Caenorhabditis elegans: one gene and its partner. The protein of the gene in region 2 purifies or fractionates together with the protein of the main gene of each other region. This does not show direct contact. Each region holds a gene or a part of one and is shown on either strand. Other genes may lie near its edges.

The links.
Region 1: the proteins of F25F8.1 (region 2) and Y102A11A.3 fractionate together in Caenorhabditis elegans (co-fractionation; one large-scale study listed by BioGRID). This does not show direct contact.

What each region holds. Positions count from the first base shown.
Region 1 is NC_003284.9:2,017,167-2,025,216, reverse strand, and holds the start of Y102A11A.3 (Protein unc-13 homolog A), read right to left. Parts: upstream 6,070-8,050; 5' UTR 6,047-6,069; coding exon 6,017-6,046; intron 5,962-6,016; coding exon 5,814-5,961; intron 5,769-5,813; coding exon 5,541-5,768; intron 5,493-5,540; coding exon 5,409-5,492; intron 5,247-5,408; coding exon 4,470-5,246; intron 4,201-4,469; coding exon 4,126-4,200; intron 4,083-4,125; coding exon 1,847-4,082; intron 1,556-1,846; coding exon 1,163-1,555; intron 1,116-1,162; coding exon 840-1,115; intron 794-839; coding exon 729-793; intron 684-728; coding exon 478-683; intron 121-477; coding exon 47-120; intron 1-46. Other genes in the region: Y102A11A.9 (Lebercilin domain-containing protein), read right to left, coding at 7,409-7,586, 7,939-8,037.
Region 2 is NC_003279.8:4,883,093-4,887,902, forward strand, and holds the start of F25F8.1 (B box-type domain-containing protein), read left to right. Parts: upstream 1-1,810; 5' UTR 1,811-1,820; coding exon 1,821-1,957; exon of another isoform or gene 1,958-2,094; coding exon of another isoform or gene 2,095-2,283; intron 2,284-2,647; coding exon of another isoform or gene 2,648-2,823; intron 2,824-2,868; coding exon of another isoform or gene 2,869-2,935; intron 2,936-2,982; coding exon of another isoform or gene 2,983-3,167; intron 3,168-3,527; coding exon of another isoform or gene 3,528-3,771; intron 3,772-4,089; coding exon of another isoform or gene 4,090-4,161; intron 4,162-4,204; coding exon of another isoform or gene 4,205-4,348; intron 4,349-4,621; coding exon of another isoform or gene 4,622-4,810. Other genes in the region: glc-2 (Glutamate-gated chloride channel subunit beta), read right to left, coding at 2,095-2,283, 2,648-2,823, 2,869-2,935, 2,983-3,167, 3,528-3,771, 4,090-4,161, 4,205-4,348, 4,622-4,810.

The DNA of each region.
Region 1 (8,050 bases), on a different chromosome or scaffold from region 2:
CTGAAATTATTAAATTAATAAAAAATATTTGAAAAAAAGACTATACTTTTCTGCCGGGGACATGAATGCAAGTGCAGCAACACACGCGGTTGTGAAGAAATATGAGACTTCTTCTAATACCTATAAAATCATTAAATTAATATACATAGTACATTGCCGACCATCGAATAATCTCTTCGCTATCGGTTTTGCTTGAGCTGTTAAAATATGTGTAACTACTATAATAGTTCGCAAAATACGTTTGCTAACAAAATGGTGCTAATTACTTGGACTACATATATTTGTGATTACGTCCGAATCACTTAACTGGTAATCTACATACAGTTTACACGGTGACCGGGAAAAGTTGTACAAAAATTGAACATAAGCCTCAAATTTCAGCTCTTATAGAATTTGAACAAAAGAAGAAAAAACCTTAAAACCAAAAACGAATAGAATTTTGGCCCCTACTGTCTCATGGCTTTGGAACTTACGTACCGAAGAAGTGTTCTGCTGTTCCGAAGAGTTCAAACTAATGTCGGTAGGGGAAGTCTCCGAAGGTGGTGTTGAGTTTGTCGGAACGAATACTTCTGCACAAATGCTAGAATCGCTGGATTCGGGTGTCAAATCAATAATGTTTTGACAAGTTTCCAAATTGGATCTTGATAAATTATTTCTAAACGGCTCGCGATCTGCATTAGTTTCTGAAAGAAGTATAATAGGAAACCTTTTAAAACGCTACAAGCTACCCAAATGTGTATTTTCTCTTAACACGTCACACATCTTTTCTTCGAAAACTTCATTCAAAGAAACTCTGAAAAAAAATTTTATTCAGATTTTCAAGATCAAAGTAAAATTACCTGTTTTCTGAGGAACTGGACTGAAGTTCAGATATTGGTTTGTGTGAAGTTGATTGGCTCAAATCCTCCAGTTTTGGCGACAAGAATAACTTTGGGATATCTGGGAAAGAATCGAAATGCTCACATACTGCTGTTTCAATTGAATCGGGAAAATGTGCGGGTACCAGACACGCTTCGAGAACTGCATCGGAGACTAGATCATGCATCATTCTATTCAAAAATTGTTTAACCACAGCTTTGTCGGTATCTAGCGTAGTGCAACATCTCTCAACATTCCTTAATTTTTCATATCTTAATCATACCACAGTTATATCAAAAACTACCTTGATTGATCGCAAAATGAAGTATCGGTACAATCTTCGACGTTTTCTTTTTCCGTGACTGCTGATGCTGTTTTATCAGCAATATACTCGGTATAAAATGTATCCTCAATGATTTTACAAGACTGATTTCTGGCGAGGGGTATCATTCTGTGACAGATCAGCTTGGAAGCTTCTTGGACAGCAGCTTGAATTTGATCAGACAAAAGATGATCAACCAATGAGGCGAGATTATTTTGCATTTCCGAAATTTTGATGCAACTTGAATCAGGCAACGGAACTTCGAAGTTGGCATAGAATAGATCCATTTCAGCAATTTCACTTTTGTATTCCGAGTTGGAATCTTTTATAATGTTTATACCACTTTCGTTTTCATTGAGATTTTTTGCCATTTTTCTGAAAATATCTTTTTTTGAGGAATATGGAAATACTGGAAATACCCCGTAGCCTAGAAAAATCAAAAACTCGGGCAATTATTTATCTATGATTTTTTACGGTACATATTTTTGAAACTTAACGAGAATAGTCTTGGAAAGGGTGTCCTTTGATTCTACCGTGAGTTATGAGGGTGGCTGAGTTTTCTCATTTCACGGCAACTTAGTAAAAACCGCTTTGTGGTTTTTTTCGCATGATTAAATTTACAATATATTGTAGCATAGTTTTTTCCCCAATAATTATACCGCGTACCTCGTACTGTCTGGATTTTCCTTGAGCATTGTATCAGTTTCGCAATACTTTCTCTCACATGCATCCTCGAAATGATGATCGAGTTTGTCAATGTCCTCGGATTGCTCAGTTGATTTTGAACTCGTTTCAGTGCTGCCTATGTTGTTCGTTTGTCCGCAGGCTTCTTGTATGTTGTCCAGATTGAAAACTACCAATTGTTGATCATATTCTAACTGATTTTCCGCATTTTCGAAATTATCTGCTGTGCTGATTTCTAGCAGGCACGCCATTGAATTGGGATCTTGCTCTGATCTTTCTAACTTGACTTCTTCTAGACCTTGATTTTCGGAAGAATGCTCACACGTTTGAGAGCGCCGGTCTTGAATTTTTTCCTTGAAACTTCGTGGTTCGAGAACATCCATTGAATTGGACATACCACACTTTGCTAAAGATTTACTATTTTCAAACGTTTTTGTCGCTTTCTTGTTGTCACCCTCAGAATCTCCAGTGGCCTCTTTTCTTTCCGGCAATTCTGATGCTATTAATTCATGTTCTATGTTAAAGTCAAGACTGATTGTGTTTTGTGGAAAATCTTCAGTCGGCCCAGCATCACTTGAGTTTTCGGACAAACCGTGTAGCCAATTCAAAAAGTGGTTCAGCCCAACTTCAATGTCCCAGGTTTCTTCTATACTCAGCGGAACACAAGATTGCAAATCGTTATCGTTCGTATTTGAAGTGGAAAAGCTGGATGTAACCGATATACTGTCCTCTGCATCATTTGTTTGTTCTTGTCGTTCCAGAAAGTTGATTTGATCTTGCAAAAAATGGTGGACGTCCTTATTGATAAAAATTTTTGAGTGTTGAGTTTGGCTTCTCCCACTTCTCATTGTAACATTATTTAAATTATTCAGAAGAACATTTTCGTCTCCAATTCGATTTTCATCGACTTTCCTAGAGATAATTGGTGGAAGAGCCTGAAAGGTAACATGACAAAGCATATCTGGGACAACAGTGATAACAATATCATCAACAACGAGTTCTGAGTAACTTGATGCTTTGCTCAAAATGTTGTTTGAAATTTCAACAATTTCCAAATTGTTATTTATTGAGCTGAGCACATGGTTTTGGATGTTTTCGTGATAACAACTATCAATGACATTGATGGTTAACGAGTTCTCTTGTAAAAATTCCGTGTTGATTAAAACCTTTGAATTGACCGTCTTTAGAGTAGTATCCATACTGATAGAAAGGGAACACTGAACTTCATCGAATACAGATACGGATGGTGTGGCTTCTTCAGGTGTGAACGTTTCAGTATCGCTTTGGTCTTCTATTTCCGGCAACACATCTACAGTAATCTCAATTGGTACTTGCAGAAGTTCAACCACGTCGAAGATTTCTTGAGAAGTTGCAGAGTTCAATGTTGCATTAGAATCAGTATTGTTGGATACTTCGACCAGGATGCTCTCCAAAACAGAAGCAACTTCAATATGGTTTTTCAAGTGAACAAGTTTTCCGCTATATTCAGCTTGTTTATCGATGCAATGTTGTTTGCTCTTTCCCAATTCTGGTGAAATATCAAAAACTGTTTCGGGAGTGATAGCGTTTGAATGTGCACAATGCTCTTTCTGTGACGTATCCTCACAATCAACATCACATGTTATTTCCTTCCAGTTGCTAGTAAACGGTGTGACGTCAGAGTTTTCAGAAAGATTAATGTTTGAAGGTGCAGTGGATCTAGAAGTGCTTTCCATGATCTGAACTTGAACAATTTCCTCTCCATTCAATTTTGGCCGATCTTCAGCGATGTCTTCGATCGGTTCAAATGTGATGTTCATATTTGATTGGTCTGATAAAATTTCAGAAGTTGATGTGTCTACTTGAAATTCAAAATCGGTTTCTGGTTGCGTATTCGAATTGAGTAAAACCGGTGGAAGATTTTCTTCTTGGAGATTTGGAGCATACTCAGAACAAACACTGTCTTCTGAAAAGAAACAACTAACATCTGGAGTTTTTGGTATTCCCGGTTGGTTGATTTCAAGCTCAGACGTTAATGTACGAAAAAAATGATTTCCAGTAGACTCTTGATCGGCGGCTTTCTCTCTACTGTAGTCTTCACCATTTGCTGACAATTTTTCAAAAACTTTCTCTTTTTCAGTAGCCGAGGGTTTAACAGTTTCATTCAACAAAGTAGAACTTTTCCATTTATCAACTGACGTTTTTCGTGGAGCCAATCTTCTCAGCATCAGTCGAGGATCTAGAACTTATATTATTTTATTTCAAAAAATTGTTTTTCAAACCTTCTTCTATCTGGTCAGCTTTCGAAGCATATGTCAGCAACTGTAGATCCAGACTGACGAGCTCGGAAGTTTTCGCTTTAAAAAACAAATTACCAAACATTTATGAATTTTGACCCAGGACTTATTGCACCGCTCATATTATAAAAAATGGTTATAAGCCAGACCATGTGGTGTCAGAGTCTTCCATTACGGGCTGATCTACAAAAAATTGCGGGAGTATTTTTTGCCCGAAAAATGTGACGTCAGTTGAGCAATCTGCGTCTGTTCTCCCGCATTTTTTTGTAGATCTACATAGATCAGGCCGAAAAGAGGCAATCTGACACCACGTGCAAGACATTTATTACCTTGTGAGGCTTCTTCTCTGTGTGACTGTTGAAATTCTCGAGACACGGACATTACCATTTGAACGTAATCTTGAATCATATTCACAAGTACACTGCCGTTTTCAGGTGTGTCAGGAGAACTTGTCTCAGAATCTTCATTGTCAGATTCTTGTTGCGGGAAAGAAGTACTACTTTGATTTTGATCAGTTTCATGAGGAAGATAAGCACTGGACGGTTCTGGTACTGATTGTAAAGAATAATCAAAATTAGCCTCGTCTTCTTGTTTTTCCGATTCCATTTTCACATTTGGTGGGAGAATAGGCTGTTTTGAAAATAGTGATGGAAGTTGAAATGTGGGCAGCTGCACCCAGGAAATGTTTTCATCTGATTTTTCAAGCACAGCTGAATGAAAATGTGGTTGTTCAGAAATTGTTTGATCCTGGAGATGACAAACATTTCTTTCTTCAGATCTACTGTGTCTGTCTTTTGAAAATTCAATTTGTCTCTTCACAATTCCCACAATCCTGTTCACTTTATCATCGGATATGGAACAATTGTCTTCAATTGAATCATCATCACCCAACTCTTCAAAAACCGATCCCGTCTCCTCCAAAACGCTCGCGAATTCTTCCATTACTGCAAAATCTTCATCTACCACGTCACTCAGACTTTCAGCGTCTTCAAATCCAACATGCTCTTCTGAAAAGTCGTCGACACAGGCAAAACACAAATGTTGGTCGATAATGTGGAAGTTGTTTTGATCATCTGGAGGTTGAGACAACTGTAGACATTCTTGATCTAGAAAATTTGAGTATTTAGTTGTTTTTTGAATGTTTTTATTTTGGTTTACAAAATTGTTTTACAATTAGTGCTGGTCATAAAGGCATGCAACTTCACAGCACATTCTTGCAAGAGCTTTTGTGCATATCTTTATCACCAGCAATGTATATTTTAACTCACTTGTGGAAAATGTTTTTGAGCTTCCCAGATGAGCATCACACATCTTATTGCGTAATTTTGATGGGCTCACGTTGTCCGATGGCTCTAGAAACAATTATTTTAAAAAATGCTCAAAAAATTGAATTGACGAACGTTTTACAAGATGAAAGCAGTGAGTGAGAGGTAACACTCGACAAGTCTCCGGCTGAGTGAGTACGTGTTCTTCTGCATAATACGTTTTTGTTGCAACCGTTTTTGTTTCAGACGGTATTGCAAAAAGATTAATGCCGTAGTCTGACGTATTTCCCAACTCATAAACCAGAGTTTTGCCGTCCCGTGTGCGATAATGAATTGAGTGTCTAATTGGGTCACAATTGTTTTCTGAAACAATTTTCATTACATTTCTGGTTTTATTTTCCAACTTACTTGGTTTCATTTTTTCCGAATATTGTTTGTCACCAAAAATAATTCTTCTCAATTCAGCCAAATAGTTGAAATATTCGTCACACTGGCGAGAAGTATACACATAGTTTAGTTTCGTACAAAATTCGGATTGATGATATCTAACTCTACTCTGAAATGTGTATACATTGTATAAATTTAAAGTATTAGAAAAAATATAAATATACCTTGATGTGTTGGTCACAGTCAGAATTCATGTGCTCAACATTCAAGTTATCATCTGGAAAATTAGAATAAATGTGATCTGATTTTTTTTGTATTTTTAAATTCGATAGAATTTGATTTGGTCTATAGATATAGTTTAATAAGTATCTCAAAATGTTCGCAATAAATGAAATTCCATAATGTGAATAACTATTCCTATTTTATTATTAAGTTTATAAAAAGTTTTTCTACAAGGATGAGTATGTGCTCAAATTAACAAATTTCGTGATAAAACTTCGCAAAAAATTGAACTATTATTCTTTTTGCATTTATAAATAATTTATAAACAAAACATTTATAAACATTTATAAATAACGAAATGATGTGACCTAAAATTAACCAATTGTTTTCGAAATGTTGGACCGCCATAAATAATTTTGAAATGTTTTAAAGAAGTTTAATTTTATTCGAAATTTGTTCATTTGAACCCATTTTGGGCTTATTCGTTTATTATATCTAAAACCGATACTCCTCTTTTAAGCCTAAAATAAAAAATTCACGTTTTATTTTTGATAAACTACAAAATAAAATTGAAGTACAGCTACTACAATCGAATCATATTAAATTAGTATTCCACAAAAACAAAGCAAATAATGTTAATTTGCAGTCGAGTGCTCAAGAAACAGAAAAAAAACGAAATGTAATGCTCGCCGATACCAATGAAAAACTTGCATTATCAGCAGTTACAACTGCTGCTCTATGCCTTTTTCCAGTGATGTATGACTTGATGATAAAAGTGGTTTGGAATGTATACATTTCATCAGAACTGTGAAAAAAGGAGCATCGAGTAGATTGACAGATGGAGAACAAAATGTAAAACACCGTGTAATGCCAAAAATGCGCTCACTTGGCAGGAATCGTAAAAAATATTAGGGAGGAATAAGTTCCGGGTCGTCACTTTTTTTGTAGTTTTCTTCGCAATTTAATATGTAAGGAAATAGTGCACAATTTTTTTGAAAAGTTGTTACGGTGGACTTTGATAATTTCAGCACAATAGAAGCAGTTTTGAACAGTTTCCCCAGTGGTGGCGACACTCCACTTATAGAGGTTAAATTTTGCCAGGTAACATGTTAAAACAATAAAAAACTTTATTTAAAAAATTTTAAAAAAATTTATTTAGAAGTTTCAGAAGGATTTAATTTTCGAATATGTAGTATAAACTAAATTGTACAGTTTTCAACACAAAGATTTTCACACTCAATTGGGATTGCACAGCAGAATCAAATTAATTGGAAGAAAATAGAAAAAGGGCTGACCAGTGTTCAAAATTATCACATCAGGGGAAAAAAATCAGACAGGTTGTATACTAATAGATAGATTGACAGGAAAGAGTGGGAAGTAATAAAAGTAGTCTGTTATGATTGAGTGATCATACGCAATCGCTCACAATGAGCACCAGCAATTTCTGCTAATGCACCAGCAAGGTGTACATGATCGAATTCAGAAAGATTCGATAAAACACTTCTTTCAGAAAACTCGTGCAACGTGCCGTTCTCGTCATTGTCAATATCGGTCATGTCGAGTCGAGGTATACTGAAACGACGTGTGTCATTAAAAGTGCAGTAGAGTCGTTTTGGAATTTTGCTTTAAATGACAGAAAATAAACACTAATAACCTAATGTAACTGTTAAATATTTTTTTAATTGTTTAATTCTTCTAAACGATATTTTATGGGTTTTTGTCTTTTTAGTCTTCTTAACGAAAAAATGCGAAAGAAAAAAAAGAAAAAAAAAACTCAAAAATACGCGGGAATTCAAATTTAATTCTGCCGGTTTCCGCCAAAATAAAATAAAAAATTATGGTCTATTTTCTCTGATTTAAAGCAAAATTTCAAAACGACTCTACTTCACCTTTGAACAAAAACAAACAATATCAAAATGTTCACTTTAATGGTGGAAGGCTCTCATAGTCCGGCTGAATTTTTAAATGTCCAACACGTTGCTCCAAATCACCCAAATGTTCTTGCAGTTTCTCATTGTTCATTCTGAAAATTTTGG
Region 2 (4,810 bases):
CCGTTATTTTCTTATTCAATTCAAAAAAGAAAGTGTAACAGGATGGGAGGAGTGTCTTTGAATGTTCTAAACCACTTTTCTCTACTCTTTTTTTTCGACACTGCTCTCGCCAATATTTGAAATTGAAAAAGTTGATTCTATTGAAAGCTTCCCCCATTTTTTTTCTTCCTATTTCGCGTTTTTGGTGTTAAAAAATTGTTGTAGGAATTTTTGAAAGTGATGGGAGATTAGTGTCAGCTTTTGCAGAAAAATTTGCATGGATATTTCTTGTAATTTACGATTCTTCCTATTTTGCATTAATGAAAACATTGAATACCAACTTTAAAATTCTCAAAAAATTACGGCCCTCCTTTATTTCCTCTCCCTCCCTCTCGAAAATCTCTCTTATCACCCGTAAAATATTTTCGGCTAATGCTGGATTACAACGCAATTTTCCAATTTTTATCTGTTTTATTTCCATTTAACGATGATGATCATCGTTGTATTTGAATAATTTGTTTCGGTTTTTGTAACCAGTTCCTCCGCCACCGCCACCAATTTTCCTTTCTTTTTTCCTATTTTTTCTCTTTCTCCCCCATTTTTGTGTCACTCACCACTGTTTTTTGTGTGTTTCTATTTTATTTTGGTGTCGTTTTCTTTGTTTTTTTTCTGGAATTTTATTTCTTTTCCAATGTTTCATAGCTGAAAATTGACGGAAAAAGTTTTCCCTTCACATTTTCAAAAACAATGTTACAGGTTTATCCATTGGAAACTTTTTCAACTTTGTTAAAACCCAGTTTTTAGAAGGTCTTTTAATATTTACAGACAATAACTTTAGCCAAAATAAATTAGACTTATCGTGGCGAGACCAGCTTTCCTACAATAGAAAATTTTAATGTTAAAGATACTTTTCAAGTTTCCGAAAATTACTGAGTTTTCAAACAAAAAAATTGCGTCACTCCAGGAGATTCTCTTTAAAGATTCTCTAAAAAAAGTTGTAATATTTGCAAATACCATTACGAAATCCATATATTATGTTGTTTATCACTTTCTTTGATTTTTGGAATTTTACTTTGGAGGTTGCGAAACTTAAGTTTCTGAACCAACTGAAGTAATAGTTAGTTTCTCCTAATTAGATTATCTTATCAGAAAAATTTCTCAATTAGGGATTTTTAAACTACAAGTTAGAAGTTACTCAAAATATTCATTAGGTTCTTCTAACCTGTGTATTATTCTATGTAAGCATTCTTTAATGGAAAGTTTCCTATCCGAAATTTGTTTTTATATTCAAGGCGTTTAGACTTGCAGGAAAGCTCAGCATTCCTTAAAATGTTTAAATTTGAAACATGTGGCGATTGTCCGAGAGATTTACTAATTTGTACCTACCGTATTTTTAAACTGGCACTTCATTACTAAACATTGGCAATTATTAGATTTTTCAAAAATATTAGTTAACTTTTTTTCTATAGGGGGGTGTAAACTTTTTTTTTAATTTCCACAGAGATTTACAACTGTAGAACCATTTTTTTTTAAGATCCAAAAAGTTAGGTCTTTCAATTTTTCATTTTATGATTCTCTCGGTTCTCCCGAAAAATTGCCAAACTTAATAAATTTCAAAAAGTCTGAAACTTTATTTTAAATTTTCTTATATTTGTAAATTTTACAGTTTTGACATTTAAAACGGGTCAAAAATTTTAAAATGTTGACAATACTCGATTTTATGTTTACCTTTCATACTTCTTCGATTCATTCAACTCATACTATTTACGCACTTTTTTCCAATTTTTTATATGTTTTCTCATTCACACTTTAATCAAATCTTGTCTTCCAGATATGCAAAGATGATAGTAGATTGTGACGATTGTGGCAAACAAATCGATTTAAATCAGTCATCAATTTCCAAGCCTTCTTCGTCAAATTCTTCGGACCATATTGTTGAATTATGGTGGTGTAGGGATTGTATATCGACTGTTTGCAAGTGAGTTTTATTTTTTATTTTTTATTTAAATTTTAAATTTCAAATTTCATTTACATATACCGGTATCAAGTATGATGTTTGCAAATTGATAGCAAATGTGGGAACAGTGGGGATTTGAAAAAAAAACAGGGGAAAATCTAAACGAGAGACTCTGGAGTGGAAGCATTGGCAGACATGATAAGACATGATACCCAGTAGATAACATTGAAAGCGAGAAAGGCAAGTGGGACGACAAATCTGGCATAGAAATCAATTTTTGCCGGTAGATAATCTGGTTTTGTGAAGTAACGGCGGACTTTGTCACGGAATGTCTCGCGGGCTTCGAACTGAAAAATTGACTTTTTTTCGCATATTTTTCTAACATATTTATGAGTATTTTTTGCAAGATTATTCCGGAATAGCGACTTTTACATAGGTTACTACACTTAAAAAAATAGCTACATACAATAACTTTTAAATGGAAAAAAGTCGACGTTTTGTGTTTTTAGTGGTATCATGCTGGAAGCTTTTTGGAAGCTGTTTGCATTTTGAATTCTTTCAATATTTGAGATCGTTTCAAAAAGTTGAATCTTTTTATTTGTCACCCAGTGAATTTATACAAAAAGTTTTTTTGTTGAATTTTTCAATAACATTGGCGAATTCCAGGACCAAAACTTTTTGATGATTGTTAAAATTCAAGGCTTAACCTACAGTATGACAGGTGCACGGTGGCTGATAGACTTCTGCATCCACCATTTCCAACTTTTCTCTCCTTCTCTGCGCCTTCCTTGCAGCTTTCTCTCTTGACCTGTCATTTTGCCGGACACTATCTTGATAACTGACAAATGCGTATTCCAGAAGTGCTCCGAATACAAATGTTTGGCACGCTGGAAGTTTCTTTGATTGTTAGATATATTAAAGGAGTTACTCACCTCCAAGCCAGACATCCACAACTTTTACGTAGCTAACTGGTGGAAGCTTGGCGTTGATTGCAGATTGCTGAAAGTTCTTTGTTGAAGTGCACAAATTATTTTTCAGTCCCTTACCATTGTAGTCATTGTAAGAAGCGTAGTGACTCCTAAAGCGACACGTCCAGCAGTTGAATGAAGATCAATCCAAAATGAAACCCATGAGACAATCACAATCATAGTGGTTGGAGCATACAGTTGTACCAAGTAATAACTGAATTGCCGTTTGAACAAAAGTTGCATTCGGAGACATCCATATGATCCTGTAAGAAATCTGGATTTAGTTCTTTATATAGGTTCTTCTCATCTTTTTGGAAAACCCCACAACTAAATTTAGCAACAATTTTTTAAACCCCCTATTTTCTATCGGAACTTGATTTCTGATTATTAATGTTTTCCCAATTTATTTGCAACAAAATTTGCCAAACTTCCCAACGGGCTTTTCTGCTCAAACCCCCAAAATACACTTCTTTCCGTGAAATCATTTGTTCAACTTTTTTCCCTTCATTTTCCCACGTCACAACAGCTATAAAATCCTCTCAAAAAGTGCAAAATCTGTTGACAAAAGCTCATATCTCTTCTCTCCCCCAATCGCCTCAAGAAGTTGCAAAAAATTTGTCTACCTGTGTTCGTGTGGCTTGTGCAATCTGCATTTGTTGTGTAGTTTTTGAGTATAAAATTGGGAAGATCCGAGCCAACGCCGGGTTTCAGTTGAACTGGTGTTGATGGATCCCACTCGTACATGATATCATTCATTGTGTGCGCGTAGCTGACAAGATCAAAGTTACACGATTGATAGTCGAGTGGGTAGAGTTGGAGACGCATTGGGCAGGAACTTGTCAAACTTATCCGGGAACTGTAGAGGATCTGAAAATTAAGGAAAAATTAGTAAATTAGAACCTGTTTTATAAAATTTTGGAAGTCAGATCTATCAAGATAAAAATCCACCGCAGATTTTGGCTCTAAAATTTTTTTACTTTGATTTTTTGAATGCGGAATTTTTCCGTTTAATTTTCAAAATCTTGTCCAGATGTGCGTTTCATTAGACATGTCATTTGATCAAGAAACTTCTTCCAAAATTGGGAATACTGGCAGTTTTCTATGCTACAAAAACAATAGGCATTTTTCAACATTTCCTTCATTTCCAGATAAAATTTCTTCAACTTAAAGTTTTCAAAAACTCACTTTTCCATCCGGATATATCCTCAAGAACATGTTTTCCATATCAATCAAATGTCTATGAGCTGCTTTTTCGGTCTGAAAATTCCAATTTTAACTTTAAAGTGAATATCAAACTAACGGGAAAGAATGTGTCAGGAATCCATAGACTCTTTTTAACATGTGGGACTGTGAGAAATGCCGGAGGATTGTAGAAACCCAAATTTTCATAGGCCAGTCGAGGATCTATCCATTGCTCGCGGAATGTTAGTTGAATTGAATATTCCTGAAACTTAGGAGTGAAGAAAGGATTTTTGTATGAACTGGAATTCGATTTTTTGTCTCCTATGATTATTATTGATATTAGCAATTTTTTCTGCTCCAGAACAAATTTCAAATTTTGGTGCTTTTTTAAAATGGAAATTGAACTGCCAAAAAAAATTATAAACACCTGTGAGAAATAATTTTTTTTGGTATTTTTTTGGTACTGTGATTTTTTAGGAAATTTTTTAATGTTATTTTTATTTAAATTAACATTTTTATTCCGAATCCAACTTACCATATTAACTACATCAATTTTCGATAGCATCCGAATCATAATATTAACACGAACATTGACAGCACCTTCCGTTGATGAGTTGGCCGGTGGTGGCCGTACCCGCATGTCATAATTTTTGAGCAACGCATTGAGAATCTCCTGCTCCGATTGCATACTGTACTCGCCATTTGTGACGACGGGCATCAGTAG